Canis lupus familiaris: one gene and its partners. The protein of the gene in region 3 interacts with the protein of the main gene of each other region in a pairwise test. Links are inferred from orthologs where the notes say so. Each region holds a gene or a part of one and is shown on either strand. Other genes may lie near its edges. The genes, in order: PRKAA2, AEN and HOMEZ.

What was found.
Region 1: the proteins of HOMEZ (region 3) and PRKAA2 interact in binary tests that used the Homo sapiens proteins (3 or more experiments, as listed by UniProt). The two-hybrid records come from large-scale screens. The link is inferred for Canis lupus familiaris from reciprocal best matches to the Homo sapiens genes HOMEZ and PRKAA2.
Region 2: the proteins of HOMEZ (region 3) and AEN interact in binary tests that used the Homo sapiens proteins (3 or more experiments, as listed by UniProt). The two-hybrid records come from large-scale screens. The link is inferred for Canis lupus familiaris from reciprocal best matches to the Homo sapiens genes HOMEZ and AEN.

Annotation. Positions count from the first base shown.
Region 1 is NC_049226.1:53,188,270-53,198,403, reverse strand, and holds part of PRKAA2 (5'-AMP-activated protein kinase catalytic subunit alpha-2), read left to right. Parts: intron 1-2,266; coding exon 2,267-2,360; intron 2,361-3,474; coding exon 3,475-3,619; intron 3,620-5,647; coding exon 5,648-5,735; intron 5,736-7,118; coding exon 7,119-7,343; intron 7,344-10,134. UniProt on the Homo sapiens protein: Catalytic subunit of AMP-activated protein kinase (AMPK), an energy sensor protein kinase that plays a key role in regulating cellular energy metabolism.
Region 2 is NC_049224.1:52,300,993-52,310,621, reverse strand, and holds the start of AEN (apoptosis-enhancing nuclease), read right to left. Parts: upstream 8,169-9,629; 5' UTR 8,129-8,168; coding exon 7,897-8,128; intron 7,804-7,896; exon of another isoform or gene 7,779-7,803; intron 4,553-7,778; coding exon 3,948-4,552; coding exon of another isoform or gene 3,936-3,947; intron 2,531-3,935; coding exon 2,330-2,530; intron 1,805-2,329; coding exon 1,571-1,804; 3' UTR 1-1,570. UniProt on the Homo sapiens protein: Exonuclease with activity against single- and double-stranded DNA and RNA. Mediates p53-induced apoptosis.
Region 3 is NC_049229.1:3,675,528-3,686,181, reverse strand, and holds the start of HOMEZ (homeobox and leucine zipper protein Homez), read left to right. Parts: upstream 1-4,645; 5' UTR 4,646-5,094; coding exon 5,095-5,182; intron 5,183-9,284; exon of another isoform or gene 9,285-9,474; intron 9,475-9,751; exon of another isoform or gene 9,752-9,902; coding exon of another isoform or gene 9,903-9,942; intron 9,943-10,654. Other genes in the region: PPP1R3E (protein phosphatase 1 regulatory subunit 3E), read left to right, coding at 1-78. UniProt on the Homo sapiens protein: May function as a transcriptional regulator.

The DNA of each region.
Region 1 (10,134 bases), on a different chromosome or scaffold from region 3:
AAAAAAAGTAAAAAATGCATGATGTATCTTTTTTTAAAATGTATAGTATGTAGTTATATCACCAACAACCTGGCCATTTTTTCTTTTCTCTTTAATAATAACCAGAACCACCATGTAGCACATACTTGCTTTTTTGCACATTAATAAAAGGTACCTCTTCTGGGTAGACTGATTAACCAGAAGGGCCTCCTGCTTCTGATGCTTTCTAACAGGTGGCATCTGTGCCGCTTTTCAGCTCCTGCTTGTGCCTTAACTGCGTGCCTGTAAGCCATGTAAAAACTGCGCAGCTATACTTCGTGTCCTTAAATAGTGACTCAGTGTAAGTTAGATATTGCTTACAATCAACCAGATTATAGATAATCCTTTATAAACAAACTATTTTGAGAAGTCACTTGTTCATTTATGTGTGTTAAATATAACCTCCAATTAAAACATTAATAATTGTATTTAACTTGTTTTCAGAACTTTGGTAAAATTGGGTATGTGGGGTGAAGCTGTCTTTTAAGAAAAATTTTTTCTTTTTTCTATTTCTTTTTCAAATAGAACTAAGATTCTTATTTTTCAATGGCCTCAGCTTTGAGTGCCTAGAGGTAGATTAAAAAAATAAACACACATTCATCTATCCATCTGCTTAATTTTTTACGATGGAATTTTCTTTTTTTAAGATTTATTTATTTGAGAGAGAGAATGAGAGAGAGCACAAGGGGGGGTATGCAGAAGGAGAGAGAGTAGAGTCTTAAGCAGACTCCACACTGAGCATGGAACCTGATGTGGGGCTCCATCTCAGGACCCTGAAATTGTGACCTGGGCTGAAACCAGGTATTGGTCACGTCACCTAACTGCAACCCAGGGGCCCCGTTATGGAATGTTTTTAATGTATATGAAAGTCAAGTGATGAGGCCTCATGAATCTGTTGTTTGGCTTCAGCAGTTGCCAGTGTATTGTTTATCTGTTTCTTCCCACTTCTCCTGTCCCAAATTTTATGTTTTTTTTAACAATTTATTTTTTTAAAGATTTTATTCATTTATTTATTTGTTTGTTTGTTTATTTATTTATTTGAGAGAAACAGCAACAGAAATAGTGAGGAGGAGAGGGAGAAGCAGGCTCTTCACTGAGCTGGGAGCATGATGGGGATCTGATCCCAGGTCTCTGAGATCATGACCTGAGCTGAAGGCAGACACTTAACTGACTGAGCCACCCAGATGCCCCCCTAAATAGTATATAGACTCTTTTTAAATTTTAGAACACAAGCACATTTCATTATCACCCCTAAAAAATTTAAAGTAATTAATAATATTGTCAACTATCCAGTCAGTATTTAGACTTTAATAATTTTTAAAAGATTTTATTTATTCATGAGAGAGAGAGAAAGAGAAAGAGAGGCAGAGACACAGGCAGAGAGAGAAGCAGGCTCCATGCAGGGAGCCCAACGTGGGACTCAATCCCTGGTCTCCAGGATCAGGCCCTGGGCTGAAGGTGGCGCTAAACCACTGAGCCACCCGGGCTGCCCCATAAATGGTTTTTATAGTTGGTTTGTTGGAGTCAGAATCAAAATAAGTCTTGGGGCACCTGGATGGCTCAGTTGGTTAAGCGTCCAACTCGGTTTTCCCTCAGATCGTGATCTCTAGGTCATGAGAGCAAGCCCCCTGTTGGGCTCTTGCTTAGCATGGAATCTGCTTGAGATTTTCTTGTTCCCTCTCCCTCTGCCTCTCCTTCCAGAGCACATGCACTCTCCCTCTCTCTCTGTATAATAAATAAATCTTTTAAAAATTTCAGAACAAATCTCTACATTATAATAGATCAGTATGTCTCTTGATTTACTATTAATCTATAGGTTCATCTTTCCTTTTCTCACATTATATTTGTGAAGAAAAGGTCATTTGTCCACTTTCTGCATTTTGCTGATTATATCTCTTGTGTTATCATTTAACATTAACGATATTTTTAACTTGTATTTAAATATGATACCTGATTTCCATAGAGTGTAAAAAAATTGTTTAAATGGAGAAATGAATCCTTAGTTCTTGAAGAATGAAGAATTTCAAAGAATTTGTCGACATGAAAGGGAGAATCTGAAAAGTCCATAAGCCTCAGAAAGCAGAGAATTTTGTAAAGCTATCTTTATAGCTCTATGATTGTTTTGATAACATAATTTGTTGCCATCTTAAAATACTGTAAAATGTTGGAATATAAAATTGTAGCAATAATATACTAGCTTGATTTTTTTTTAAACTAACTTTTTAAATCTTTTTCATTTACAAAAAAGATACCAGGTGATCAGCACTCCAACAGATTTTTTTATGGTTATGGAATATGTGTCTGGTGGTGAATTATTTGACTACATCTGTAAACATGGACGGGTGAGTAACTTACTGTCTAGTACACACAGTAAGACCCTAAGCTAAAAACAAAGCAAAACAAAAGGATAGTAGGAAATAGCAAACCACAAAGTTTCTTCGAAGTCAGAGTTGTTTCTGTAATGAAACCCAACTAAAGATACAGAATATTAGACATAGTTTCTTTCTTAAAAAATATACCTTTTGAGGGGTATCTGTTAGGTTCAGTTGGTGAAGCATGTGACCCTTGATCTTGGGGTTATAAGTTTGAGCCCTACTTTAGGTGTTGTAGATATTGCTTAAAAATAAAATCTTAAAAAGAAATACACATTTTGGGGTACCTCCATGGCTCATTCAGTTAAGCATCTGCTTTTAGCTCAGGTAATAATCCTGGGGTCCCAGCATGGAGCCCTGCATCAGGTTCCTTGCTCAGTTGGGAGACTGTTTCTCCTTCTCCCTCTGCTACTCCCTTTGCTCCTGCTCTCTTGCTCTGTCTCTCAAGTAAATAAAATCTTTTTTTTTTTTTTTTAAGATTTTATTTATTTTTTCATGAGAGACACACAAGAGAGAAAGGCAGAGACACAGGCAAAGGGAGAAGCAGGCCCCATGCAGGGAGCCCGATGCAGGACTCGATCCCTGGTCTCCAGGATCACACCCTGGGCCAAAGGTGGCGCTAAACTGCTGAGCCACCTGGGCTGCCTTCAAGTAAATAACATCTTAAAAAAAAAAAAATACACCTTTCAAAATACTGATTTTAGGGAACATGTCCCACTTAATTGCCAACATGATTTTCAGAGTGAAAAATCTGTTCCATAACATTATGTTGAAGCTTCAATGATTTCCATTTTGTAGCACTTTCACATGAGTTCTTATCATTATGTTTTACTTGTTGATTGCCTAAAACATTGTGCACAGTGAGTAATATTAATTGAAAATTAAATCTAATTGATTAGCAGCAAAGAAGAGCCTTGTTGATTGACACGTTGAGCTCTAATGCAAGTTTTTGGTTTATCTGATTTGTTGAGGATTCTAACCTAATTCTAATTAGCTTGCTCAGTTACATTTGGGCTGTTGTGAAACTAAAACTCTTGCTCTATGTCCCAAATATTCTTAGTGTAGCTTCTATTATATGTGCTAGGTTGAAGAGGTGGAAGCAAGGCGACTCTTTCAGCAGATTCTGTCAGCTGTGGATTACTGTCATAGGCATATGGTGGTTCATCGAGACCTGAAACCAGAGAATGTGCTGTTGGATGCTCACATGAATGCCAAGATAGCTGATTTTGGTATGTAACTCCATGATTGTTCAGAAATGTACGAGTTGCCTTTTCAAGTGGGTCAGTAGCAACTGTTAAAGAACCATGAACTTGCAGTTTCAACTTTATAAATCCTGTACCATGAAAAGGGATTAGTGGCACAGTCTCCATGTTAGCTTGTTCTTGTTCTATTCATTTAAGCACATTGTTTAAAATGCACATTCTTCTAGAGAAGTTTAGCGGGCCAGATTCTAGGTAAATCCATTTACTCTGCATTTCCTCCTGAAGGAAAACTTAACTTTTTTTTTTTGTGGAGATTACAAACTCCTTTAAAAATCTAATGAAAATATGGGCACTTTCCTTGATGAATGCATTAAAGAGAGGTACGTGAAAATTTGCATGCAGTTTTGAAGACTTACAGTCTTTTTGACTTGGTCAAGGGTGAGTGTTGGTGGATTTTAGGGTAAAATCTAATCGTTTGCTAAAAAGAATAGGAGTTTTTGTCAGGAGTAAAACAAACCAAAAACAAAATGTAAATTTAATGCACCTAACACTTTCTAGAGTAAATATATCTGGAAAGAGTACCACAGTAGGATGTTTGGCAGAAGGATTAGGAAGTGAGAGATTATAGAAGGAGCCATAGGGCAGCCCCAGTGGCGCAGCGGTTTAGCACCGCCTGCGGCCCAGGGCGTGATCCTGGAGACCTGGGATCGAGTCCCACGTTGGGCTCCCTGCATGGTGCCTGCTTCTTCCTCTGCCTGTGTCTCTGCCTTTCTCTCTAGCTGTGTCTCTATGAATAAATAAATAAAATCTTAAAAAAAAAAAAAAAAAGAAAGAACCATGGAAAGGTGCCAGAGTTCAGCATTGCTTATTTAAAGTTTCTGTCTATACCTTGACTTTAAAAACTATATTTCTCTTCCTTCTCTAAATCGCAAAACTCCCTAGTATGGTAGTTTAACTAGAATTTTGGTTCTGCAGATTATTTTTTCTATGTTGAATTAAAGCTTTCCAAATTAAAAACTTTTGGAAATCTTTTTTTTTTTTTTTTAAGATTTTATTTATTCATGAGAGACACAGATAGAGGCGGAGACACAGGCAGGGGGAGAAGCAGGCTCCATGTGGGGAGCCCGATGTGGGACTCGATCCCGGGTCTCCAGGATCCACCTGAGCCAAAGGCAGATGCTTAACCACTGAGCCACCCTGGCATCCCACTTTTGGAAATCATTATAAACTGGAGCCTTTCTGATTTCTACTTAGAGATTTTTAAAAAAGATTTTATTCATTTACTCATAAGAGAGAGAGAGAGAGGCATAGGCAGGAGAGGGGGGCGGGGGCAGAGACATAGGGAAAGAGAGAAGCAGGCTCCATGCAGGGAGCCTGATGTGGGACTTGATCCTGGGACTCCAGGATCATGGGCCAAAGGCAGGTGCTCAACCCCTGAGCCACCCAGGCATCCGAGGGATTTTTTTTTAAAAAAGGGTTTGAAAGCATAGGATAAAAAGTAATGGTCTCTATTTCATTCTTTCAGCTGTAGGAATGGGTAAATAATATTTTGATGCTTTTATGTCTGGAAAACTTCATATAATTTAGAATAACCTCATATATATCAAGTGAATCAACATTTTAAAAAAAGATTATTTTAGAGCATAAGGGAGGGGAAGGGCAGAAGGAGAAGGAGAGAGAGAGAATCCCAAGCAGACTCCACGTGGAGCCCAACATCAGACTCAATCCCACAACCCCAAGATCATGACCTACACCGAAACCAAGAGTTGGATGCTCAACCGACACCCATGGGCCCCAAGTGAATTAACATTTTTATTTAGAAAAGGGATTTAATTCCAATCATACATGATATGCTATATCTTTTTTTGTCAGGTCAGGATGTAAGCACTCTGAAATGGTCTTTTTCTAGTCTCAGGTGCTTTCTACTGCTTTTTAAAAATAATTATAAAATAATATATTTAGAACTTTGAGGAATTGACTTTTTTTTTCCATGCATTTATCTATATCTACTTTTTAAAACATCTAGCACAAAGTAAATATTGCTCTCATTTTCAGGTTTGTCTAATATGATGTCAGATGGTGAATTTCTGAGAACTAGTTGTGGATCTCCGAATTATGCAGCACCCGAAGTCATCTCGGGCAGGTAATAATAGATTCATGCAGAGTAAGCTGTTTATAATCTTTTATTCAGTCTAATTACATTTAATTAAAATATATTCTGTTCAGAGAATGAGATTGTTAACACAATAGGAACAAATTGTCCCTTTAATTTTTCCATTGTTGAAGAGAGAATAGTTATATTAAACAATTTTTTAAACATTTGGTTTAGATTTTGTTATGTATATTTAAGGAGTTCTTCCATAAAAAAAAATGTACTGAAACCAATCTTGATTTTTTTTCATTTTGGAAAAGTACAAATAAGAAAGCATTTGTTAAATTCAAGCTAGAGTCATCATTTACTTACCAGACACAGTCCTTAAATAATAATTTACATATTCTTTTATAAAGTACTATATAGAGTATTACTTTGATTTGTCTTTAGAACAATGAGGTTTTTCAGAGATAGTATTGTCTTTTCATGTAATTCATTGTATAAGTAGAGGCTGGAACTTACTCACCGGTATATTTAAAACATGTTTATAAAGATGGCAGTGGTAAACAGGAGCTTTTCAGTGACCAGTGTCTGATTTAGAAAATTAACAATTTTCTGAGAGAAAATGAAGAAAAGGCATTATTGCAATGAGCACGTATAGGAGTTTTGGACAAGTACAAGCAAATGATGTAAATGATAGACAGCAATTTTTTTGAAATGGATTATATTCTTTTAATTGGAATTGTAGAGATTCACTTTGTTATCTGAGACCGAAGTTTGAGTTTGTCAGTGGGGTATCAGGGACATTTTAAAACTGCAGAAAGGTGAGAGAAAAAAAGAATAATATTCAAGGCATAGGGTCATGTGGAACAAAGCTAATCTTAGTCCCATGAGCTAACCTAACAAGTGATTAAAATGAAAGTCATACTCAGGATAATGTGATACAAGACAAATACTTTCAAAGAGATTGCTCTAGTACTAGTTAGGCACTGTAATGTTTGAAATACTCTTTGAAATAGGCATGTAAGGCATAAAAATTATATTTATGCATTTTCTTTCTTGTAGTTTTGTGGTAAAAGGATTAAGTCTAAACGTTATAGTATTGTTTTTTCAAGTTTATGGTCATTTGCTTTGATGTTTCCATAAAAAAAATCAACCATTGTTAAGTTTTATATTTTTTTAGTCAATTAGTAAGTTCAGTGAATTTGTGACAAATAAAATACTTTTGTCTAGGAAAACTTGAGTAGCAATTGCTGAAACAAATTCTCTGTGGAGAACAAGTCTTGAGTGTTGGGGTGTGGCCATGGACTTTATTAAAGGCTTGCAAATCAGTATACACCGATTCTCTACCATGTGTATATAGAAACAGGTTATATGTGAATGAGAAGAAGTGGCACTTGGATTTCAGGTTTGTGTTGTCATCTTGTTTCTTAGATTGTATGCAGGTCCTGAAGTTGATATCTGGAGCTGCGGTGTTATTTTGTATGCCCTTCTTTGTGGCACCCTCCCATTTGATGATGAGCATGTACCTACGTTATTTAAGAAGATCCGAGGGGGTGTTTTTTATATCCCAGAATATCTCAATCGTTCTGTTGCCACTCTCTTGATGCATATGCTGCAAGTTGACCCCCTGAAACGAGCAACTATCAAAGATATAAGGTGATGATTCTTCTTGTTACTGTTATGTACATTTTACAGTATTAATAATAGTACCACTAACTGAATGCCTGCTTTATGTTAAACTCTGTAATACTTACTGTGTAGGAATTTTGCTTTCCTTTTTACACAAACCTGATCATGTCACTCATCTTTTAAATATTTCAGATTGTCTCCCAAACTTTTTAGTTTAGGTAGCAAGTCCTCTAAGGCCCTTCGGAATGAGGCTCCATTTCCTCCTGTTGAGGTCTCACTCTTGCACTCCCCACACCTCTGGTCTCTCAGTGCTTTAGCTACACTGAGCTTTTCCTCATTCCTCAAACATATATTTTATGCCTTCATGTTCTAATTTAAATTATTGCCTCTGATGCCTTTTCTACTTTTTTTGACCTGATAGATTTCCATTCATCCTTTAAAATTCTGCTTACATATCATCTCCTTTGTGAAATCGCTTCTGATTCCCTTACGCAATGTTAGTCCCTTACACTCTCATGATTTCCACGTTTTGTTCATAGTTTTATTTTTTCATTATTTTGTATTTAGCTATTATTACTCAGCGCATCTTTCTCCATCCTACATTAACTCCATAAGGGTAGAGAGAATGTCTCACACATCTTAGTACATGCAGTGCTAAATGGCCCATGAATGTAGTCTATGCTAAGAAATGATTTGAATAAATTTCAGATGGAATATGGGGTATTAAGTATTTTATATATGGTTGATGAAATAAAGCATTAAAAGTTTTGTTAAGATTTTGAATCCAAAAATAACTGCTAGCACTGTGAAGGATTCTTGTTATGTGAGAAACTTTGGAACTTGCAGTGGCTGGTGTTATTGTGAATATGACCTTTATATAGCACACACAAGCCACCGATAATGCATTGCCTTCTACTCTTTACTTACCATGCATGTTATGTTTCTTAGGGTTTTTTTGTTCTTAACTAACATTTCATCAGTTATTCATTTACAAACACATTCTTTTGCCACCTTTCCAGAATCTGTCATCTTATCTTCATAAGCCAGAATGGCTATTTAGAGACCTGTGACTCTTGGAATGTTTAAATGATGGATGTGGTTTTTTATGTGATTGCTGCATATCTCTTCTACGAGAAGGGACTAATTCTTTCCACATTTGTATACTGTTTTCTTCTCCTAGCCTTTCTTAAGCTCTCCAGGCCTCATACATAAAATAAATGTGTGATTGTAAATTAGTACCAAGTTCAGTTATGGAAATGAACTTAGTAGGAAAAAACCTTTTGTGTTCCCAGGTTTTTTTGTTGTTGTTACCTTTTGTTTTTGCAGTTTTTTTTTTTTTTTAAAGATTTAAAAAAATTTTTATTTATTCATAGAGACACACACACAGAGAGGCAGAGACACAGGCAGAGGGAGAAGTGGTCTCCATGCAGGGAGCCCAACGCGGGACTCGATCCCGGGTCTCCAGGATCACGCCCCGGGCTGAAAGCGGTGCTAAACTGCTGCGCCACTGGGGCTGCCCTGCAGTTGTTTTTTTTGTCGTTGTTGTTACCTTTTGTGTTCACAGTTGGGTTTTTTTGTTGTTGTTGTTGTTTGTTTTGTGTTGTTTTGTTTTACTTATAAGTTAAGTTCTACACCTAGCCTCGGGCTTGAACTCACAATCCCCAGATCAAGAGTCATGTGCTCTACTGACTGAGCCAGTTGGGAGCCCCAGTCACTTAAATGGCTTTTCCTTAGAAAGAAAATTAGATATGCTTCCTGTGACTTATTTGTTCCATAACTGGAGCTTGTATCTCCCTCTCCCCTTCACCCATTTTGCCTATCCCCCTCAAACCCCCCTCCCTGCAGTCATTGGTTCTCTACTTATAGGTCTAATGCTGCTTTTTGTTTATTTCTTTTTTAGATTCCACCTATGAATGAAATCATATGGTATTTATTTTCTCAGACTTATTTCACTTAGCATAGTGCCCTCTTCGTCCATTTTGTTGCAAATGGCACAATCTCATTTTTTCTTAAGGCTGTGCAATACTCCCTTGTATATGTATCCCACATGTTCCTTGTCTATTTGTTGGTTAATAGACATTTAGTTTGCTTCCATATCTTGGCTGTTGTAAATAATGCTGCAATAAACACAGGAGTCCTTATATTTTTTTGAATTAATGTTTTTGTTTTCTCTAGGTAAATACTCAGTAGTGATATTATTGGATCATATTGTATTTCCATTTCAAATTTTTTGAGAAAGTTCCGTACTCTTTTTCACAGTGGCTGTACCAATTTACATTCGCACCAGCAGTGTGCAGGGCTTCCTTTTAATCTGCATCCTTGTCAACACTTATTATTTCTTGTCTTTTTTATTTTAGCCATGCTTACTGGTGTAAGGTGATATCTCATTGTGGTTTTGATTTGCATTTCCCTGATTACAGAGCTTGAGCATCTTTTCATGTGTCTGTTGGCTTTCTGTATGTCGTCTTTGGAAAAATGCCTCTTCAGGTCCTCTGCCTGTTTTTTAATTGATTTTTTTTTTAATTTTGTTTTGTTTTTTGGTGTTGAACTGTATAACTTCTTTATATGTTTTGGATACTAACCCCTTATTTGAATATATAAATTGCAAGTATCTTCTCCCATTCAGTAGGTTGCCTTTTTTGTTTTGTTAATGGTTTCCTTCTCTGTGCAAAAGCTTTTGATTTGATGTAGTCCCAATAGTTTATTTTTGCTTTTGTTTCCCTTGCCTTAGGAGAGATACTTAGAAAAATGTTGTTATGGCTGGTGTCAGAGATAGTACTGCCTATGTTTTTTCTGGGAATTTTATGGTTTTAGATTT
Region 2 (9,629 bases), on a different chromosome or scaffold from region 3:
TCAGGCTGACATAAAAACCATTGTTATTTCCCGCATGCAGAGGGATGCTTGAGCAGACACAGGTCACACCTCCACGCTGGGTCCTTAGACTGCCCCGGTTGGAACAGCCAAGCAAGGACAGCCCTGTTGCAGACAGAGCCACTCCATCCCAGGAGGCTGGCTCAGGTGTTATTCAGAAGAGGCCGCGACCAGCCTTAAAGAAAACAGAGCAGGTCACAATGACCTCAGCTTGCTGCGTGCCAGGCACTGGTACCTGATCCCCATGACAACCCAGGGAGGTGGGCTGTAGCATCATCCTCATTTTACAGAGGAGGAAACAGGCTCAAGAGTGAGGTCACATACTTGCTCAAGGTCGCAAAGCTATTAAGTGGCAAGCAAGGATGGGGCTCACAAGTCCGTGTGGACCTGAGGTCTTGGCTAACCTCAATACCCCAAATGGGCCCTTGTGAATCAATGAAAGAGGGGTGGCATAGGAGATCCCGACGGTTATCCCAATAACCGTGATGACTATGGATCAAAGAGCCTGAGGGGACACCAGCCCGGGAGTGGACACACTCCCTGGCCCTAGCCCCATGGACATGCACTCTGCCCCCTGCACACTGGCAGCCTTACTTTTTTTCTTTTTTTTTTTAAGATTTTTAAAATTAAATTATTCATGACAGGCACAGAGAGAGAGAGAGAGAGAGGCAGAGACACAGGCAGAGGGAGAAGCAGGCTCCATGCCGGGAGCCCAAGCAGGACTTGACCCCAGGTCTCCAGGATCACACCCCGGTCTGAAGGCGGCACTAAATCGCTGGGCCACCCGGGCTGCCCTGGCTTTACTCTTAATAAATAAAGGTCCCTTGGTGGTAGCTCTGCACAGAGGTCCCAGAATTCAAACTGCTGTCTTGTTTCTCAGGCTTGTACTTAAGAGAGCCCAGCACTGTGGGCATGAGGAATGCCCGAGTTAGGTCAAAATTAATATGCCACAGTCTCCACCCAACATCAACACAGAGCTGCTTTCCCCACTCTCAGAAGAGTGCCTGGTGATGCCTGGTGCCAGCTCCCCTTGGGCCTGCGGGCTCTGCTATCCCATCACAGCCTAGCACTGAGTTCCTACTACGGCTACGGCCAGAGCTGCAAATCTGAGAAAGGCAGGAATGTCCCTTAGAGGGGCTTTCACTCTATAGATTCAGGACATGTTCACTGTGAACCTAACAATGCCCGCGGAGGAAGATGCAGAGGGCAGTAAGAGAAAAGGGCCTTACCCCAGGTCACTGAGCTGAGCTAACACCCCACGAGGAGACCTCACCCTCTGAGACAGCACACCGGGGGGGGGGGGGGGGGGGGCAGTGACAGCTAGGATGGTCTGCTGGCACACTCCCTCCTCTGGCTCGGTCCCCATAGCTCACCCACCTGACATTTTCACAGTGCCTATAAAGTGCCATTAGCAAACCATGGGGGGGAAGTGCCCACAAGAGCCCTGGGCAGAGGGAGCCAAAAGGATAGATGATCCCAACTCCCCGGACCCTGGCAACAGGCTAGCTGCACCCTGCCCTGCCCAGGATGAATTGCCCAGGGCTCTCCTGCCTCACTCCCTTCTGTCCTGTGCCTCCGTTTCTCCGTGGGTGCCCTGGGCCAGGTCCTCTGGCCAGTACTGGTCCTCCATGTACTGCTCCATGTCCGTGCTGCTGTCAGGCTCTCGGTCCTCCGGGCGGGGCGGCAGGCTGCTGGCCTGCTGCTGCTCCCACTGCACCTCCACCAGCCGATAGAGCTCCATGGCTGTCGTGGCATCTTCCACTGATGAGTGCCCGTGCTGGCCAGCCTGCAGACAAGAGCCCTCATCACTGCCCGCCATTCTGGATCTGGTGCAGGCCCAGAACTCTCGGAACAGCTGTGTATGGCTCGGGACGGGGGCAGGGCATGGGTGCTGCTCAGGAGAGCACAGCAATCTCAGACATCCCGTACCCCACCTATCCTCTCTGACCCTGCGTCCCCAACTCAAACATAACCCGTGGTATAACTGACTTCAGAGGCTTGAAGAGCGGACGGAATAATGAGAAGGACAGTGGGAGCGAGAGTTACTGGCTGCCCCTGGGAAAGGCTCCGCCTTGTGGATTCTCCATGAAGGGCAGGGACAGAGCCAGGGACCGGGTGGAGGACAGGTCTGCAAGAGCCCAGCCTGCAAGAACGTGGTTGGCTGTCACAATAGGGATGGTGGAGAAAACACCCAGGGCTGCCTCTACGTGTGGGACATCATACTTAGCGCCCTGGTCCCGGGGACTGGGGAAGGTGGAATGACTGGAAGCCCGAAGGCACACCCCATGGCCCCTTCTCCCGTCCCACGCACCTGGATCTTCTTGTGGAGCAGCTGCAGGGCCAGGTCCTTAAGAGACACCCGGGTGCGGGTGTGGAGGCCAGGCTGGTGGAGGAGGTTGGGCACGTAAGTGGTATCCCGGGTCTGGCTCCGAGGGTGCACGTACTTGAGGGCCTGGAAGTCATTGTGGAGCGCATGCCCCACCACCACCTTGCCCTTCAGGAGCTTGAGGATCTATGAGTGAAGGAGGGAGGAAGACCCTGCTGTCAAGCTGGCACGAGACATGTGCTGCCACCCTGGCCACTGGCACACAGATCCCTCCAAAGGGGGGGGGGGGCAGTGTGGAGAGGGCACCCACGAGCTCCATGGTCAGCCACGCAGCCTCATGTCTGAGTCCTGGGCCTTCGACTCACTATGACCCGGGGCACACTTAGGCTCTCGAACAAGTAAGAGTGCTGTCTCCCCGGGGTGGGTCTGAGCATTTTAAGAAGTAGCTCCTGGAAGAAGTCTTCTAGTTGATCAATACAAGCAACTCTGTTCTACTGGCACAGGCTCTCTGCTCAGACTGGAAGACTTCCCTGCACTCCCCCACCCCACTCAACCTTGTGCCAAGTCCTCTCGGGGCGCCTCGGCTTCCATGCCAGGAGGCCTCCCACATGACTGGCCCAGCCACATCAGGACCCGGGCTGTTCTCTCCCATGGTGGTGGAGTGGATTCATCACGTTTTCTAAGGACACCTCTAGGTCTGGCACAGTCTATCCACCTGCCCCCATGTTAGCTCAGTGTAAACAGCAGGGACGGTGTTTGACTTGACTAGTGATGCTCGATGAAAGCTCAGTACATAGGAGGCGACGGATAAAGACCCACTGGATGACGTCCACAGAACTGTGCCTGGCACTAGAGATAAGCCCATTAACAGCAGCTTTTGTTAGCATTAGCCAACATGGCCTGTCTCCTCAGGATCCTGCCCCTGGACAAGGGGCCATACAGGACTCCGCTTCCCACCTCTGAAACCTTTGGTCTCTGGCTCAGCGCTCACCACGTGCATAGTGCATGCCTCTCTTCCCTGCCTTCCATCCTTCTCAGGCCCCAGGGAGGTCATGTGCACGTTTGCACAGCATGATGATTTTTCAAAGCCATCCCCAAGCCCATGAGAATCTCCATGGAAGGATCTGGGGACAAAGATTCAAGATTTAACAGTGCTTTAGGTGCTTCCTATGGTCAAATACGTTTGGGAACTCCTAGCACATTAGTGCGATCCCAATCACTAATTGATCTTTTTCAAAGCTCCGGATAACTAAAAAAATATGGAAACGCTGATGCCTGAAGATGACAGGACTGTGGGCCTTGCAAATTCTAAATAGATACATCATACTTTTACAACCGAAAAGAAAATGTAACTTGTGAGCCTTTCACATCTTCCAAGTGGCGGTCTTTCCACAAACATTATCCCAAAGACTACCCAGCAACCCTCCCATGGAGGTGGGTCCAGATTTTATGCACCCTTGTTTATGGAGAAGGAAGCCACACGTTACACAGAGGTTAAGTAACTTTCCCAAACTCGTTTCCAGCAGCTGAGTGGTGACTCAAACCCAGGGCTGCCCTTCCCTGGCCATCCCCCATCCACACATGTCCTCACCTATGTCCTCACCTCTTTCTGGGCCACCTGGAAGGGGATGGCCTTGCGCATGTGCTGCCGAGTGACACCACTCCAGCGAGTGCGGTAGTCCACGATGGGCATCTCAGGCCGAATGTACTTGTCATAGAGGACATCGCCATGGTAACTCACTACAGAGCAGCGGGCCAGCTCACTCACCCGCCCTCGGGGTCCTGTGCCCACCATCTCACAGTCGATGGCCACACATTTGCTGGGCCGGGGCCCTGCGGATTCCCGGGGGGTAGGCTTTCTGCTCCACGAGGCACCTCCAGGTTCATTCCTCAGACGCTGCATCCCACTGCTGGTGGCTTCAGTGCCCGGCAGTGCCTCTGATGGCATGGGCAGCGGGGAGGGTCCCAGCTTGGGGGGCATGCTCAGCAGCCCCTGCTCCTGCAGAAGGGCTTTCCGGGCCATGAATCGCTGGTGCTGTCGACTCTTCCGCTTGTGTTTTCTCCGAAGCACATCCTTGGTATTCAGGCTAGCCAGGGAAGGGCACGGGCACTGGGCAGACTCTGGGCCTTCCCGGGGTACCATCCCAATCAGCTCACACCTCGGGGCAGGCGTGGCCTGGTGGGGTGATCTGCCAGCGGGGCGGCGCTCTGCAGAGACAACACAGGGCAGAGAGGCTGGGTGAGAAGTGTGCAGGGCCAGCCCTGCCCCCGCCTGCAGGGCTCCACTGCCCACTGCCCACGAGCCCTGTACTTTGTCTCAGGCTCCCAGACTGAGCCCAGGACCTTTCAAATAATCACTGCACTGAGTCAAGCTCCCCTGTGAATCACTATCCCAAGTACTTTACATAGAATCACTAAATACTCCCAACAACCTGAACAAGTATGATCGTTCTCATCTCACAGGTGAGAAAGACAAGAGTTGATGCGAACCCAGCATCCAGGGTCTCAACCTTCAAGCCAGAGCACACCTTCAGGAGCATCAACAAGCTTTAGAGAGGTATAGATATGGGAAAAGAAAAGTTACAGAAACACCGTGTGTATGCATACACACATACACACGCAAATCTCATTTTTAAATTTTTTAAATTTAAGTTATCTCTACACCCAATGTGAGGCTCAAACTCATGACCCCAAGACCAAGAGTCGCATACTCTTCCAACTGAGCTGGCCACACAATCTAATCCCAGTTTTAAAAAAACCAAAAACCAAAAACCAAAAGAATCCTTTGTGAAAGCACAGGCCCTCATCCTCAGCAGAAACTAGAGAAAAAAAATTCACAAGAGGCTCACCATAGTTGCATTTTCGGTATCTGTCAACCAAAATAAGGTAATTCATTAAATGACTTTCTACCTCACTAATCACAACAGCATCTAAAACAGTTTTTGATAGCTAGGCATTTTGCTAAGTCACCAGAGACTAAAGGCAGGGGTATGCTCGTAAGCTGGCTCAACACACAAAAAGGGAAACAGAAAAGGCAGGGTCCGCAGGTCCCTCCATTACTGGACACTGGGGATTTCTGAAGTTCATGTGGGTTTGCAAATCCCATGCAACAAGGCCAGCAGGTGCCCAAGAGCGAGGGACCATGCTTGGACAGCTTCACTCACTTGCTAAGTCACCTGGTACATTTTTAACAGGCCAGAAAACCAGGACTTTCAAGAAGGCAGAGCAGGGTTTAACTCAGCTGTTTAGAAGTTACCTGAGCTGAGCTTCAGGTTCCTTGCTTGAGAAATGGCCCTACTACAACCTGTCCTAATGAAGATGGGAGGACACAATACACGTGTGCTCACTCTGCATCCATTGTATACAGTAGGGGCTCAGTAACTACCTGCTCCCTTCTCCCCAGAGCAGTTAAAGCTCTCCTCCTGACTGGTCACCAGCTCTTCCCAGGCCAAAGCTGCCTCGGCCAGGACTCACTGCCCTCCCAACCCACAGGCTTTCCCCTTACCTGTCTTCCCACTTACATACCTCCTAACCTTTCTACATCCTCCAGGGAGCCCTGCTGGAACAACCCTCTATCCCTAAGGGTTGTTCCACCCTAAGGCTCCCTTGGGTCCCAGCTGTGCCAGTTGCTGAGCAGAGAGTAACATAGGCAGATCCTGGCCTCGAAAATAATTAGTCTCACTGCAGAGACAGAAACAGAGCACAAGGCGTGCGCAGGGCTGGGTTAGAATTGCTAGGGAAGCAGAGCTGGCCCGATGATGATTCTGGAAGGCTGGCTGGAAGAAATTAAATCTCTGTGAAGAAGAAACAGTAACCCTCCAGGTGACAAGGAGATGAACTGGTGGCCATGTTAGGGGCAAAGGCCTGAAAGAGGAAGGAAGCCAGGGTCGGAAGAGGAGCCCCCCTCCCCAAGCAGCCTGATGCCACTAGGGCATAAAACACAAGGTAGGTCAGGTCCCAGCTGGAGGAACTGTCCCTCTCACCTTTTCACCACTTAACCTTCTGTCCCCACCCTGGGAAGGCTACCACACACCTTGGTGGCCCTACCCTCAGGCCCCTAAGCTGCTACCCCCAGAATGGCCGCTACTGATCAACTGAGGGAATCCCAAGTCCCAAGGTAAGTCACTGACTTCCTGAGCCCAGGCATTTACAATCTAGCTGGGGAACAGAGAAATTCACCCCTGCACACCTGACAGCACAACCAGAGAAGCATTTACTACACTTTAAGGCAACAGTTACAGAGCGTCTACCCCAAAGTGCTCCAAAGGCCGGGTCAGAGCCCTGTGTGTCTTTGCCTCTTCCCCAACAGCCAGCCCAGGACCCGGCATACAGCAAGTCCTCTTCAGAAGTGTGTGAAGGGAGCTGAGGCCGGGCCTGCCAGACTGTGGGAGCAGCAGGGCTGGAGGTGAACCAGACAGAATTCAGGGAACTCCTCATCTGGCAAGGAGGCAGCCAGCCTCTTCCCAGGGTGTGCTCAGGATGGGGGGTAGTGAATGAACTAAGGACTCATCTGTCCGAGTACTGGACAGACAAATGCCAGGTTAGTGACGCCTGCCAGTGGAGGGACATGTTGAAAGGTTTCAGGAAGGTCTGCTAGGAGCACAGAACGGGAAAGGCATTCAGAGGAAATACACACTGAAAGTCCAGAAGGCAAAGGTCCTCCACTGTGAGAGGGCAAAGAGGGCTGGTGGACCAACTGACCAGGAGGTAGGGGGTGAGGAGCCCGATGGAGGGAACAGTGAGAGACCGCTGTTTCTGGACGGTGGTGAAAGTTTGGGCGGAATCCAGGGATTGATGGAGAAAGAAATCCCTACTGCCTTATAGACAGAGCTCTGGAGAAGAATCCGAACAGGGACAGAGATTAAGAATCGTGGGAGGAGAGCCACTTGGTGATGCCTGGGCCAGGGCGAGGCTCCGTGACCCATCCTGACTCATCCTCCCTCTGGCTTGCTCATCCACTCCCCAAGAAGCCTTCTCCCTTTTAAAAGCGCACCTAACTATAATCAACGTCCTCACCTTGACGAGTCACAGATTAGAACCGACAAGCATAGAAGCTCAGTTTGCCTCAGCTCGGCAATGGGGAGAACTGGGCCCTTTCCCTTCCCTTCTCCCAGGTCAGGGGCTGAGCCTGGGAGCGCAGGGTGGGTGGCCTCCCTGACCCTGCCTTCAAGATTCCCAGGAATCCAGAAATCAAGTTCCCTGAGAAATAGTGGCCTTGTGTTTCAAGAGATGAAAGCAAGTCCTCTTCTACATGCCCTGACCTTGCTGACATGTCAGAACCAACAATTAATTATCTAGGACACGGCTTGCCCATCCTGGGCCACCATAGGGGTGGGGGTGGGGGGTGTTCAGCAACACTGGAGAGAAGTTTGGCTCAAATCACACGGCTATTTCAGTAAGGACACACTCAAATCTCCTCCCAGCCCAGAACCACCTCTTTGGGGATCAGCAGCCAGCAGGTCTTGCTTGCGGTGACAGGTGATGGGGTTTGTGGCCCAAGGCAAGGACTCCAGCAGGAGCCCCCCCGAGCCAAGGCCCCAAAAGCTACCAACCTGCGGGCAGATGGGGAAGGCAGTAGGCGGCTGTAGGCTGCCTTCCGGGTGCCCTGGCCCTAAAACCTAGATGTCCTGGGACCAAGTCACCGCCCCCCTGACCACAAAATGGGAGGTGGATGAAAATCGAGCGTGGATCTAGGTTTGGGGTTTCCCCCAAAGCAGTTAGAACGTCCGTGTCAAACGTCGAGTGCCAGGCCTGCCCCCCCACACCCGCCATCCCAACTGCCATTTAGGGCCACGGGGCCTGAGAAGCCGACCTTCGTATTTTGATGAGCGCGCGACCCCACCCCCGAGCCCTGGCCGAGTAATTGCCCGGATTTGGAAAACCCGGGCTCGCGGAGGTTATCCCCGCCCCCCGCCACACACACGCCCGGGGCCGCTCGAAGTTCTCGGCAGGGCGAGGAGAGCCCGGGAGCCCCGCCGACCCCCCGGCCCCCGAAGAGCGCCCCGGGGAGGCCCGGCCTCGGCCACGGAGGGCTCGGGTGGTCCCTCGCCGGCCGCAGGGCCGAGCCCGCCAGGCCGAGCCCCGTGCCCGGCGCCCCTGCGCCCGGCGCCGCCCCGCAGGCCCCAGGCCCCCGAGCACGGGAGGCGCCCGGGGCAGGACCTGCACGCCGCAGGGCCCCGAGAGCCGCTCGGCCGGGCCCCGGCGTCCCCGAGCGCAGGCCGGGAGCGGGCACCGCGCGCGGGACCCTAGGGCCGGGGGCGCGCCGCGCCAGCAGACCCCCCGCCCCCCCGCCCCGGCCGAGCCCGAGCCGTGGCCCGAGCCCGAGCCCGGGCCCGCCGTCCCCAGCCGCGCCCCGGAGCACCTGAAGCGCCGCGCGCGTCCTCCGGGCCGCACGTGGTGTCCTGCAGCCCGCAGCTCCCACATGCCCGGGCAAGCCCCGCTCCGCTGCCCGCCCATTGGCCCGCCGCGCGGCAGCGCCCGCCCAGCGCCGCTGCTGATTGGCCGGGAGCCTGGCTCGCGGCGGATAGGCGCAGGCCCGCAGGGGGCGGGGACTCCTGAAGGGGCGTGGCTTGTGCGGGGAGCTGGCGGGACCCGCGGAAAATTTTAAAGCAACCGGAGCGGAGCGTGGCCTCCTGTTTCCCGGGTCCCATTCCCTTTTGCACGGCGCTCCCTGGGCCAGGATGCGGCCTCCTACGAGCTGCGTGCCACCAAAGGCAGAATGACTTGCAGGAGACACACCCACATTTGCGGAACGGGAATGGAGAGCCCTTCCCTCCTCTGTGTCGTGGGGATTCCGTGAAATAATACACATGAAGGGCACTAAAGAGATTGTGGGGGCACCTGGGTGGCTCAGTGTTTGAGCAACTGCCCAGAGTCCTGGGATCCATCCCCCTGTCGGGCTCCCTGCACAGAGCCTGCTTCTCCCTCTGCCTGTGTCTCTGCCTCTCTCTGTGTCTCTCGTGAATAAATAAATAAAACCTTTAAAAATAATAATAAACAGTTCACATTTATTTTGTGAGCACTGCTGTGTGCCAGGCAATATGCATATATAATCTGTACAAGAACCCCATGAAATATGTACTATTATTTCTATTTGACAGTTAAGGAAATTGACATTAGAAGAAATTAAGAGGAAACCGCTAAGATCCAAACAAAAGACCCTTACCAAAGCAGTCTGATTCCTCCTAGCTCTGTCTTGCAGTCTTGCAAAAAGAGGGCATTGCAAAGGTTCCCAGAAGGCCGGTGGTACCCGTGTCCAGGAATCTGCCACCTCTGACTGGAATAT
Region 3 (10,654 bases):
GACTATGCGCTACGTGGGCCCGAGCACCCCGGGAGCGGCGGAGCCCCGGAGCCCCAGGGCTGGATCCACTTTATCTGAGCCACCTGCGGCCGACGGCGGGCAAACCAAAGGCACCCAGGGGCTGGGGGAGCCCGAAGATTTGGCGGGGAGGAATGAGAGAAACCGAGATTGGCTGGGAGCTGTCCGAGAGAGTCCACTGGGGAGGGAGAAATCAAAGGGGTGTGGGCAGTGGGCGGAAACCAGCAAGGTCGGGGACATGGGGATGGGAAGACAGGAGCTGGATGTGATAGGAACCCAAGGCATTAGAGGGATTAGGAACAAAGCGAAAGATTGATGTGATGTCCTATACCGTGAGCTAGTACTGGGAGAAAGGGAGTGGATTCGTCAGGCCTAGGCAGTGAAGGTTAGCCACCTCCTTGGGATCGAGTAGGAGCCCACCTGACCAAAGTCATTTGGATTGCTCATTCCTCTTCTAACCCGCCAATTGCCACCTCAGGTCCCGCAGTCCTGCCCATCCTAGCTTTAAACTCAGCCATAATTGCCTTGCTTAAGTCCCAGGAACTTGGCCATTGCTCCTCAGTCCCAGGCGTTATGACACGATTCCTTGGTTATCCCTGACGTTCCCGGGCTTAATTGACCCCTGCCTGGCCTGGGGAGTGATGGCACACGGCAATCAGAGCTCCTTCGCCCTCCTCCAGGCAGCCCTGGGGATTAAAATGAAGGCGAAACCAACTCCAGGCCTGACCTTGTAGCCAAATAATGCCGTGCCTGAAGAGTTGGTACACTCAGGGACTTCCAGAAAAATGCCAGCCTTATACCTTCCTAGGGTGCCTTTTAATGACCTCTAAGCACTTTATGCACTGTATTTGTCATGGAATAGTGAATCACAAGAATCCCTCTCATGATTCTGCCTCAGAAAGACTCACTGACTAGCCGTATTACTTTGGGCAAAGTTAACTTTACCTTTGTGGGCGCCAGTTTTCATCTTGGAAAATTAGATCTTGGCGAGGTGATCTCACAGTCTATTCTTGCTTTGATATTTTATGATCTATGAGTGGCAGAGTGTAGATTAGAAGCCCCAATCTCCAACCTAAACAGTTGGAGTGCTACAGTTCAGAACACACAGCACTTTCAGCATTTGGGTAGGGCTGAGGATGAATATTTGACACAAATATTCAGAGCCCAGGAAGCATCTCATAACCAGACTTCAGCCTGATGGTATTCCAGGGCTTCTTCCAAACTGCAGTTCATCCTCTGCCCCGTGGTTTTTGCTCTTGACCCCCACAGACTTCCAGTCTAGGTCCTTTGAGACAGTTTTGGGCAGCTGCATCTCTGTTGGGGAAAATAATGTTTGGGAGCCCCAGAGATGAAACCCTGTGAGGCTCTCTTTAGGATAAAGGATTATGGATATGAGAAATGGAAAACATTTCAAATCAAGAATCAAAGCCAATTAAGTGGCACCAGAAGATGGCAGTCTGTTCCATACCCTGAGCAAGTAAAGTGGGAAAGCTGGACTCTTCTATCACAGTCATGCCTTAGGTCTCCCCTCCTGGCTAACCTCTGCTAGTAGTTTTTCCTTTCCTTTCTTGCCCTATTCCTAAGCTTTTTCCTTTCCTTGTCCCTCTCTCTCATCACTTTAATTTTCCTTTTAGCATACAGGGTATTCACCTTCGTTTTCTCTTTTCCATTTGCCTCCATCTTCGTCCTTGTTGATCTCTGCTATTCCTTCTCCCTCCAGAAGGGGTGGAGAACCTTCTTCCTTTCTCCAAGACCATGGTTGATCCACCTTCCTTCCTCAGGCTCCTTCTTGACAGTCGTCTAGAAGGGAGAAGAGGGAAAAGAAGCAGTTCCTGATGCAGATGAACAGCTGCTCCCAGGTAACCAGTTCCCCACACCCTTTTCTATCTGTTACTACTTTCTTAAAAATTTCTGAATCCCCCTCTTCCTTATTACCAAGTCAGAGAGTGCATGCACATGGGCCCATACATGCATTCAGAACAGAGTATGGGGCTTGTTACCATGCCCCTCCTATCCAAAGCCTTAGTCTTTTGAAGGAAGATGGCCAAAAAAAGAGGAATCTTGAGTCACTCCTCAAAGAAATGCCGGTTTAAACATCATCCTTACCTGATGAAGAAAACAAAAAATTTCATGCATCTTGTGGATCATCTTCAGGTCAAAGTTCCAGCAGAGTGAAGAAAGAAATTCCTGGAAGCCACCAAACAATGTGCTTTTTAGTCATCGATGAAGAGCCCAAGGGAGGATGATGGAGAAGGAAGAGCCTGGGTTGAGGCTCAGTGTATAATAATCTCTTGCCTAATGTGTATGCATTATTGTCATGTTGTATTAACAATCATAATAGCTCACCTTTACTTAGCAACTAAAATCTGGTGTCTTGCATGCATTATAATCCTCAGAGCAACTCTAACAGTTGAGAAATATTATCCCTGTTTCAGAGATGAGAAAACAGGTCAGAAAAGCTAAGTAATTTGTTCCAAGCTCACGTCTCTGGTAAATGGCATAGTTAGGATCTCCAGTGTTTCTATGCATAGCCATGTTACTGTATTTTTTACTTTAAACAAAACTGAAAACTTTGCCATATATAATCTTTTATTGGGAAAAGAACACAATTTCCAATTGCTCTGCCTTCCCATCCTCCCAGTCTTCCAAACTGGCTCAGAGAAGGCATAGTACTGAGGGTCCCAAGCTCCATGCAGGAGCTTGCTGCTCTCTCCTGTACCAGTGTCCTGGCTCTCCAGAATCAGCAAGGTACCACACTGCCTGCCTGCTAGAGAACTTGGGAACCCATTTGAACTCCAGCTTTTCTGTACATTGATTGGGATTCTCTCCTGGCTGTAACCAACCCACACTTGTTGGTGTGACACCCTTTTCCACTCCCCGGACTAGTCTGGAACTGACCAGTCCCTAAAGTTTCCACTAAAAGGTATCCCTGACTTGGACAACTGCCAAATGGTCTGTGCTTGGGCCCTTTCTGCAAGCCTGGGTATTATTTTTTTTAATATTTTATTTATTTATTCACGAGAAACACACAGAGGCAGAGGCACAGGCAGAGGGAGAAGCAGGCTCCACGCAGGGAGCCCGATGTGGGACTCGATCCCAGGACCCCAGGGTCACGACCTGCGCCAAAGGCAAGTGCTAAACCGCTGAGCCACCCAGGTGCCCAAGCCTGGGTATTATTGAGTGGAAATGTAAACTGGTTGGAGACAAGGAACCAAGGATAATCCATTTTTCCCTGAGCTCTCTCTGTAGGAAGTACCATGGCTCACCCACCCCCCATTCTCAGCTTTAGAGAGCCAACACCTGAATCTTCTAGTTCTTCCCAAATAGAGCTGCCCCAGGGCCTGGGGGTAAGCTGGTGGTCTAATCTGGAATGGGAAATACTAGAAGTTTGAAGCAATCTTTAGAGATGTGTTACATATTAGGCATTGGGATGAGTCCTTTCCCCTAAAGGCTGGTGACTATATGAACAGGAACAATTTAACATATAATACGTCAGCTGTGGACGAGACAGCACTGTAAGAGAAAACATTACCCTGGTTAGGGGCTTGAACCCTTGAAGCAACACAGCTGGAACATTGCCCATTTCTCTCATCTAGACCTCAGATGTTTCCCTACACCAACCTGTCTTAACACCTACGAGCCTTCTTCTTGTACCTTGTTTCTCTTTATGAATGCAGCTCATTATTTCTCTTCATAGTAAGTCCTAACCCCTGAACTTTTCAGTCTAACACCCGCCTTCCCTTCTAACACCTGTGTTTCTCTGGAGCAACTCTGGATCCCTGCAATCTGCAAGTCATATAATCAGAGACCTGGAAAAGCTTATCTTTAGAGATCACTGGGGTCCCTGCTTCAGTACAGATGAGAACACAGGTCCGGAGATGGAGTGACTTCAGCAAGGTCAGAGAATTTGTTAGTGCAGCTGGAGATGGGGCTTAACCCCAGCCTTCCTGACCATATCCCACTCCCAGGCTAGAAAACAGGCTGCTGCACAATCAGACCTGGGGTTTTTCATGGCAAGGATAATATCACAAATGTTTCATTTTCTGCTGCTAGTTTCCACTCCCTTTTCTATACCGGCATAAAAAGAAACAAAAGGCACTTGTAGTTTTCTCTGTTCTCCCAAGCCTTGGCACTTTGGGTGATATTGCTAAGGAACAGTGAAGTTGCTAAAAAAAAAAAAAAAAAGACTGAATAACTCACCCATTGACTAGCTAACCTGGAGAGGAATTGCATGTTTGCTATGTGAATCCCCCCAAACCACAGTTCTCATCAGGCCGTCCCAGAGTGTCCTCATCCCCTTCACAGCGCAGCCCTGTTCTCTGGGCCCCAATCCCACTAGCGCTGAGCCTCACTTCAGCTTCCTCATGCAACTGCCCTCCCTTCTGGTTAAGAGGCCTCATGTTTGAAATAAAGGTAAAATATGAAAGTATATTATAAGATACTGAGATAAATTGATTTTTTCGGGGGGGGGGGGTGGCAAGAGACCCAGCGGCAAGATTCCTCTTCCCTATTTCCCATTTCTTGGTCATCTCATTTCCTAAAAGCCCTGTCCATTGGTGTCCTATTGCTACACAAAAGTTGGATGGGCAGAAGATACAGAGGAGCTGGGCAGCACTGGTATAAGACACCCCAATAGAATCCCACCATTTGGGTAGTGGCAGGAAAGTTATCAGGGGGCCCAGCTCTAGTTCCCTAGCACCCAGCACCAATTCCTGGTACAGTTAAAGGATAAAATCCCCGAGTTTCCCCTTGTGTCGGGGGACCATCTAAGTTACATTCTTCTTAAGCACTGAAGGGCAGAGCAAAGCCCTTTTCTCTATCAAGGGCAACCCTAAAGTAAAGCACAAGAAATATGAAGAGGAAAAGCAAAGACCTCTGTCTAATCCAGAGTGGAACAATAAATATTAAAGTGAGGCATCCTTGAAAAAGATCAGGTTCTAACATAATTTTGACTTCCACATCACCTGAACAATGAGAGAATTCAGTTACCCACAAATGAGACAATGTTTCTAATAGGAAAGCCCTAACCTGAGAATAATCAGATTCTCCTAATTTCATCATAATGGCCAAGTTGTGATGTCACTACAGAGCACCCACACTTACGTTGTGAAGCTAGATATGCTGAAGGGTAGAGTCAGCATGAGGAGCAGACACCCAAAGAGAGGTAAGTGGGGGGCTTCCCAGGGTTTTTCTCTGTGGCTTATTGCCTAAAGTCCCTCCGTGGCCCTAATGTCTTTCCTGGCTTCTCACAGTTTAGTGCTACGTCTGTCTGAAATTCTTCCACAAATTCCTTCACTGCAGCTTTAGCTATCCCAAATCTTTTAATAGTTGCAGTTCTGATTGGTCAGCCCTCAGCTTTTGGATTTCTTAGGAGACCGGGCACAAAATGGTGGAGCATGTTTCCCCTAAGTGAGGCAGAAACTCCCCATATCCATTTGGGTTGTCCCAGGGGTAGATGCTAGTTTTGGGGTGCCTGAAGCACAATTTTTGGGGCTTTTTAAAAAACTTATTCATGAGACACAGAGGCTGAGACATAGGCAGAGGGAGAAACAGGCTCCCCATGGGGAGTCCAATGCAGGACTCTATCCCAGGACACCGAGATCACACCCTGAGCCAAAGGCAGATGCTCAACCACTGAGCCACCCAGATGCCCCTTTTTGGAGACTTTTAAAAGAAAAACACATTAGTCACAAAAGTGAAAATAGTTTAGAATGAGAAAAGATAAAAATTTTAAAGAGCTGACAAATACAATATCATAAAATCAAGAAAAATAAAATTTTAAAACCTACTTGACAAGCATTTTTTTTTTTTTTTACAATTTTATTTCTGAGTGCATGCTCTTGATAGCTTCTATGATGAGAATGTTTTCTCTAAGGAGTATAGAAAAGTCTTCTACATGACACTTTTTTTTATTCTTAGTGATTTAGAAAATTTTCACCTTCACACTTTATAAGTGATAAGAATATCACAATTTTGGGCAGCCCTGGTGGCGCAGCGGTTTAGCGCCGCCTGCAGCCCAGGGCGTGATCCTGGAGACCCTGGATCGAGACCCTGGATCGAGTCCCACGTCAGGCTCTCTGTATGATGCCTGCTTCTCCCTCTGTCTGCTTCTGATGTCTGCTTCTCCCTCTGCCTCTCTCTCTCTCTGTATCTATGAATAAATAAATAAAATCTTAAAAAAAAATTAAAAAAAATCACAATTTTTTTCAGATTTTTATCAAACTTGAAAAAAACACTATCAAATTTCCTTGATGTATGTGATATAAAATTTCAGAGCATTTCAAATTTGTAATGACTAATATGCTCTGGATCGTTGACATTCGTATTAATGTAGATGTATTAGTCAGCTAGAGCTGCCATACAAAAATACAACAGACTGGGTGGCTTTAGCCAGAAATTCCCTTACAATTGTAGAGGGTAGAAGTCTGAGGTCAAGGTATCCACAGGGTTGACTTCATTCTGAGGTTCCTCTCCTTGGCTTATAGATACCCATCTCCCTATGTGTTCCCATGGTCGTTCCTATGTTCGTGTCTGTGTCCAAATTTCCTATTCTAAAGATACCAGTCATATTGGATTAGGACTCACCCTGAAGACCTCAGTTTAACTTAACTACCTCTTTATAGACCTTGTTTCCAAATACAGTTATATTCCAAGGTATCGAGACTTAGTACTTCACAGTAAGAATATGGAGTGTGTGTGTGTGTGTGTGGGGGGGTGGACAACACAGTTCAGCCCCTAACACTATGCTTACTATTAAACTATTTACAGAAGTAACTGCAAACCACAGTGATAGACCTACTCAACCCAAAGCAAATGTATCCCCAACTTAATTTCCTTAACCAATCCCAAAATGCCTATGGCCCCTCCACTGCCACTTGACAAAAGAAGTATAATGGAGGGGAAGTCAGAAAGGAAAGAGACATCAATCTTAGTCAATTGCAGTTGAAATATTTTTTTCAAGTTTTACAAAAAACTATGACCATGTTAACATGTTCTTGGGGCTCCTTCAGTGCTTTGGAAGAGGTCTGTGCAAGAGATGGCCCTGAAACTTCAGCTTCTTTAGCTATAGGGTAAATGTGCCTCTTGGTTAATCCTGCTAATATCTAAGTCATGCAAAGGAAGAGAGAACTTCCACCAATATGGGGGATTAACATCTCTATATTGAGGATGGCATGATGAGTCCCCATTCTTCAGCACTAGTCCCTGGAAGAGCTGGGAAGGTTCGTTATCTTGCTAAAGGTGGGGCCCTCCCATCTCGGATAGCCTGGATCTCTTCCTCTCTTCCAATCCCCATACAGTCTACTCCATCTTCTAAAGTTTTAGAGTGAAATCCACATAAGAGGGAGTCTTCAGCACACACTCTAGAATAGGGGCAGGTGGATTTCTTCTATCCTTGGATTTTTCCTCTCCTAAACCTGTCCAGTTCTGCTCCCTGTTCTGGAGTCTCAGGAGTGAGTGTCTTTTTTTTTTTTTTTAATTTATTTAAAGATTTTATTTATTTATTCCTGAGAGACACACATAGAGAGAGGCAGAGACATAGGCAGAGAGAGAAGCAGGCTCCATGCAGGGAGCCTGATGTGGACCCGATCCCAGGACTCCAGGATCACACCCTGAGCCAAAGGCAGGGGCTCAACTGCTGAGCCACCTAGGTGTCCCAGGAGTGAGTGTCTTAATGAGCAGAGTTGTCCACCTTTCAGATTTCCAAGCCTATGATCAGTGTTGCCAGAGAGCCAAACTGAATCCTCTAGGGGCAGGCACTAAGTTCCCACAGACATTGCCTGCCTGGCTTTCCAGCTTGATAAGCATGAGTTCTTCCCGGTCAACCGGGAAGTTATTTTTTATTTGTCTTGTTATTTGTTTGGATTATGAGAGAACAACATCTCCACTCAAAACTGAGGCTGCTGCTGCCTAAAATGTTTCACTTTTCCCTTCATCATGTAACAAACCACTGGGGCATGGGGATAGTCATGATTTAGGACAAAGTCTGCATACCACCAGTCCAGGCTTAAACCCTGAGGAATCAGAAGTTTCTAACTTTAAAGCTGAGTATATATGTTGTGCCCAAGATTGTGAATCCAAGAAACCACCAAGGAGCCGACACCGATGCAAGCACATGAGGGTTTATTAGGAAGCTCAAGCCTGGGTCCAAGTACACCCGACACAGCAGAGCAGGGGCTTGGACCCCGAAGTGGGTTCCAGCTGGGTTTTTATGGGCTGGTCTAGATGACTTCCAGAAGGGGTGGAGGAATTTCTCCATTCCAATATGGGGGAAAGGGTGGGGGAGTTTCTTAAGCTCTGTTTTCATTCCGATATGGGACTTTCTGTCAAGGGCATTCTGTCAAGGGCGTTCTGCGGTTTTTCCTGTAACTGAAGTAGGGTAAAGTTCAGCTCTTGTTCACAGGGGCCTGAGATGGCTGCCGAAGCTAAGATGACTGTACTTGTGCTAACGCTAAACTTGAGGTGCAATGGCCTTAATTTTCTCGGCCTCCACATATATATCTTTCCCTTGTTTATGATGTTTTTGCTGGATACACAGTTGTAAGATTGTGGGCCTGGCTCTTAAAAGGCTGAAATTTTTACTGAATGTAATGGGGCTAGGAGGTGTGCAGGGAGAAATACAGGGATAATACCATAAATAAAATAGGGCTCAGTGCTTAAGCTTATTTCTGATGTCTGACAACTATGACAGCATTCTAGACCTTAAATTGGAGGAACAAAGAATCCATAATGGGGGTTGATTTTGGAGGGAGTATACGGGGAGAGGTGGTGTCTGGAATACAGAGCGACGTCTGAAATTGTTTTATAAATTACTGTAGTTATGTAAACTATTAAGTGACCGAAATGGGCAAGAAGAGGCTTTTTTGAGGACCAGCATGAGAACAAAAGAATCACTTCAGAAAGGGCTGTTCCCAAGTTTAGTCTGAAGACTAAGAATCCAAAATATAAAAACTTTCAGCCCACAACTTAAGAGTGTGTGGCGACTTTGGCGAAACATCCACTTTACTGCCATCCCTTTCTTGACAGCAAAAACTAAGGTTCCTAAGTACAAGTGGGAGTTCCAGGTCCTCCTCACTGGGACGGAGAGGGGGCCTAGGGGTCTGGTGGGTCCCAAACAGGTGCTCCTTCCGGCACTAGTCTTTGGGAACACTCGTCCGCTGTTCCGAGGGTGCCGGGCTCCTGGGACCCTCGTCTTCCAGGCGGCGGGACATCTGATCCGCCCGGAGAGCAAGTTCCCGTTCGCTGTAGGCGCTGCGTTTCACAGTGACGCTGCTGCCGGCTGGGCAGGCGCGGATCGGCTCCACTTGTGCGCACGGCTGGCAAGGAGGTGCTGAAAAAGTCTCCCTTCAGGAGGAAGGAACGGGGAGTAGTCGCAAGGGAGTCCTGGACAATCCAACGAAGTGCGGCGGGGTCCTGGGGGACGCCTCCGGGAGGACCAGCGCTCAGCCTGCTCCGAAGGTCCGGCGCGTAAAGGTCGGGGGCGAGGGAGGGGGTATCAGTCGCAGCACCCTGGCCCCGGGGGACATCTTCCCTGCCCCAAGCAGCCAATCGCCACCCAGCGGAGGCCCACGCAGCCAATAACCGACTTCAGCCGAGATTCACGCAGCCAATGGCCGCCCGGTGCACCGCGCCGGTGCCCGCCCGCCGCCTCCGCCAATCGGGACTCGGGCCACCTTGGCGCCGCCCCCGCGGCCCGCCCCACCCGGCCGCCCCGCCTCCAACTCGCTCGAGCAGGGTTGGGCTAGACGGGCGCGCTCTCGGGGACAGGGGGGGCAGTCCCGGTCCCGGCCCTCCGCGCGGGTGGGCTTGGAGCAGGCCGCACCGGGCGGGAACCCCAGTCCCACCCCGGAGGCCCCCTGCCCTTTCTCCCCCTTTCCCCCCGGCCCATGGTGCGAGGCTGGGAGCCGCCGCCCGGGCCGGACCGCGGTGAGTGATCCCCAGCCCCTTCGACTTCCCCTCCCAGCCCCTGTGTGATCTCCGACCTCCGGAGCCCCATCCCCAGGCTCGGGGGGGAGGAGAATTCTAGGCTCGAAGTCGCCCGGTTCTCTCTCCTTTCTCCTCTGGACTTTTCGGTTCCCTGTTGTAACTGGGGGAGGGTGAGTGGGTGTGTAGGGAGGAGAGGGCTGGGTTGGGACGCCCTCCGCGAGGGGAGGATTGAAATTCGTCTGCTCCCTGGGGCTCGTCGCCCCAAGTGCAGCAACTTTTTGTTCTCTGACCCAGTTTGGAGCCTTGTAGACTGCCTGCGAAATGGAGGATAGGAGAAATGTTTCCTTCCCAGGCCTCTCCTCCCCCCACGACTACCTTCTGGCGACCTCAGCACACGTACAGAAATCTGGCCTTACTTCTGGGGAGCAGTGGTCTTTGGGAATGAAAGGTTTGGGAGAAACTGCCCTTTCTGACCCCCTACCCAGCCGTACTCCAAACAAACCGGGAAAGTGAGACCCCGAATCCTCAGAGGTTCCTGGTTTTGCGTCCTAATCTGAGACTTCTAAACTGAAAGAAGACTCAAGCCGAGACGTGTTTGGTAATGTGGGCCCAGATCAGATCTTTTACATATGAACCTCCTCACCATACATTTGAAGCTCTTTTATATTATAGGATTAGAACAGGTAAATGGCAATGATCGAAAAAACAAAAA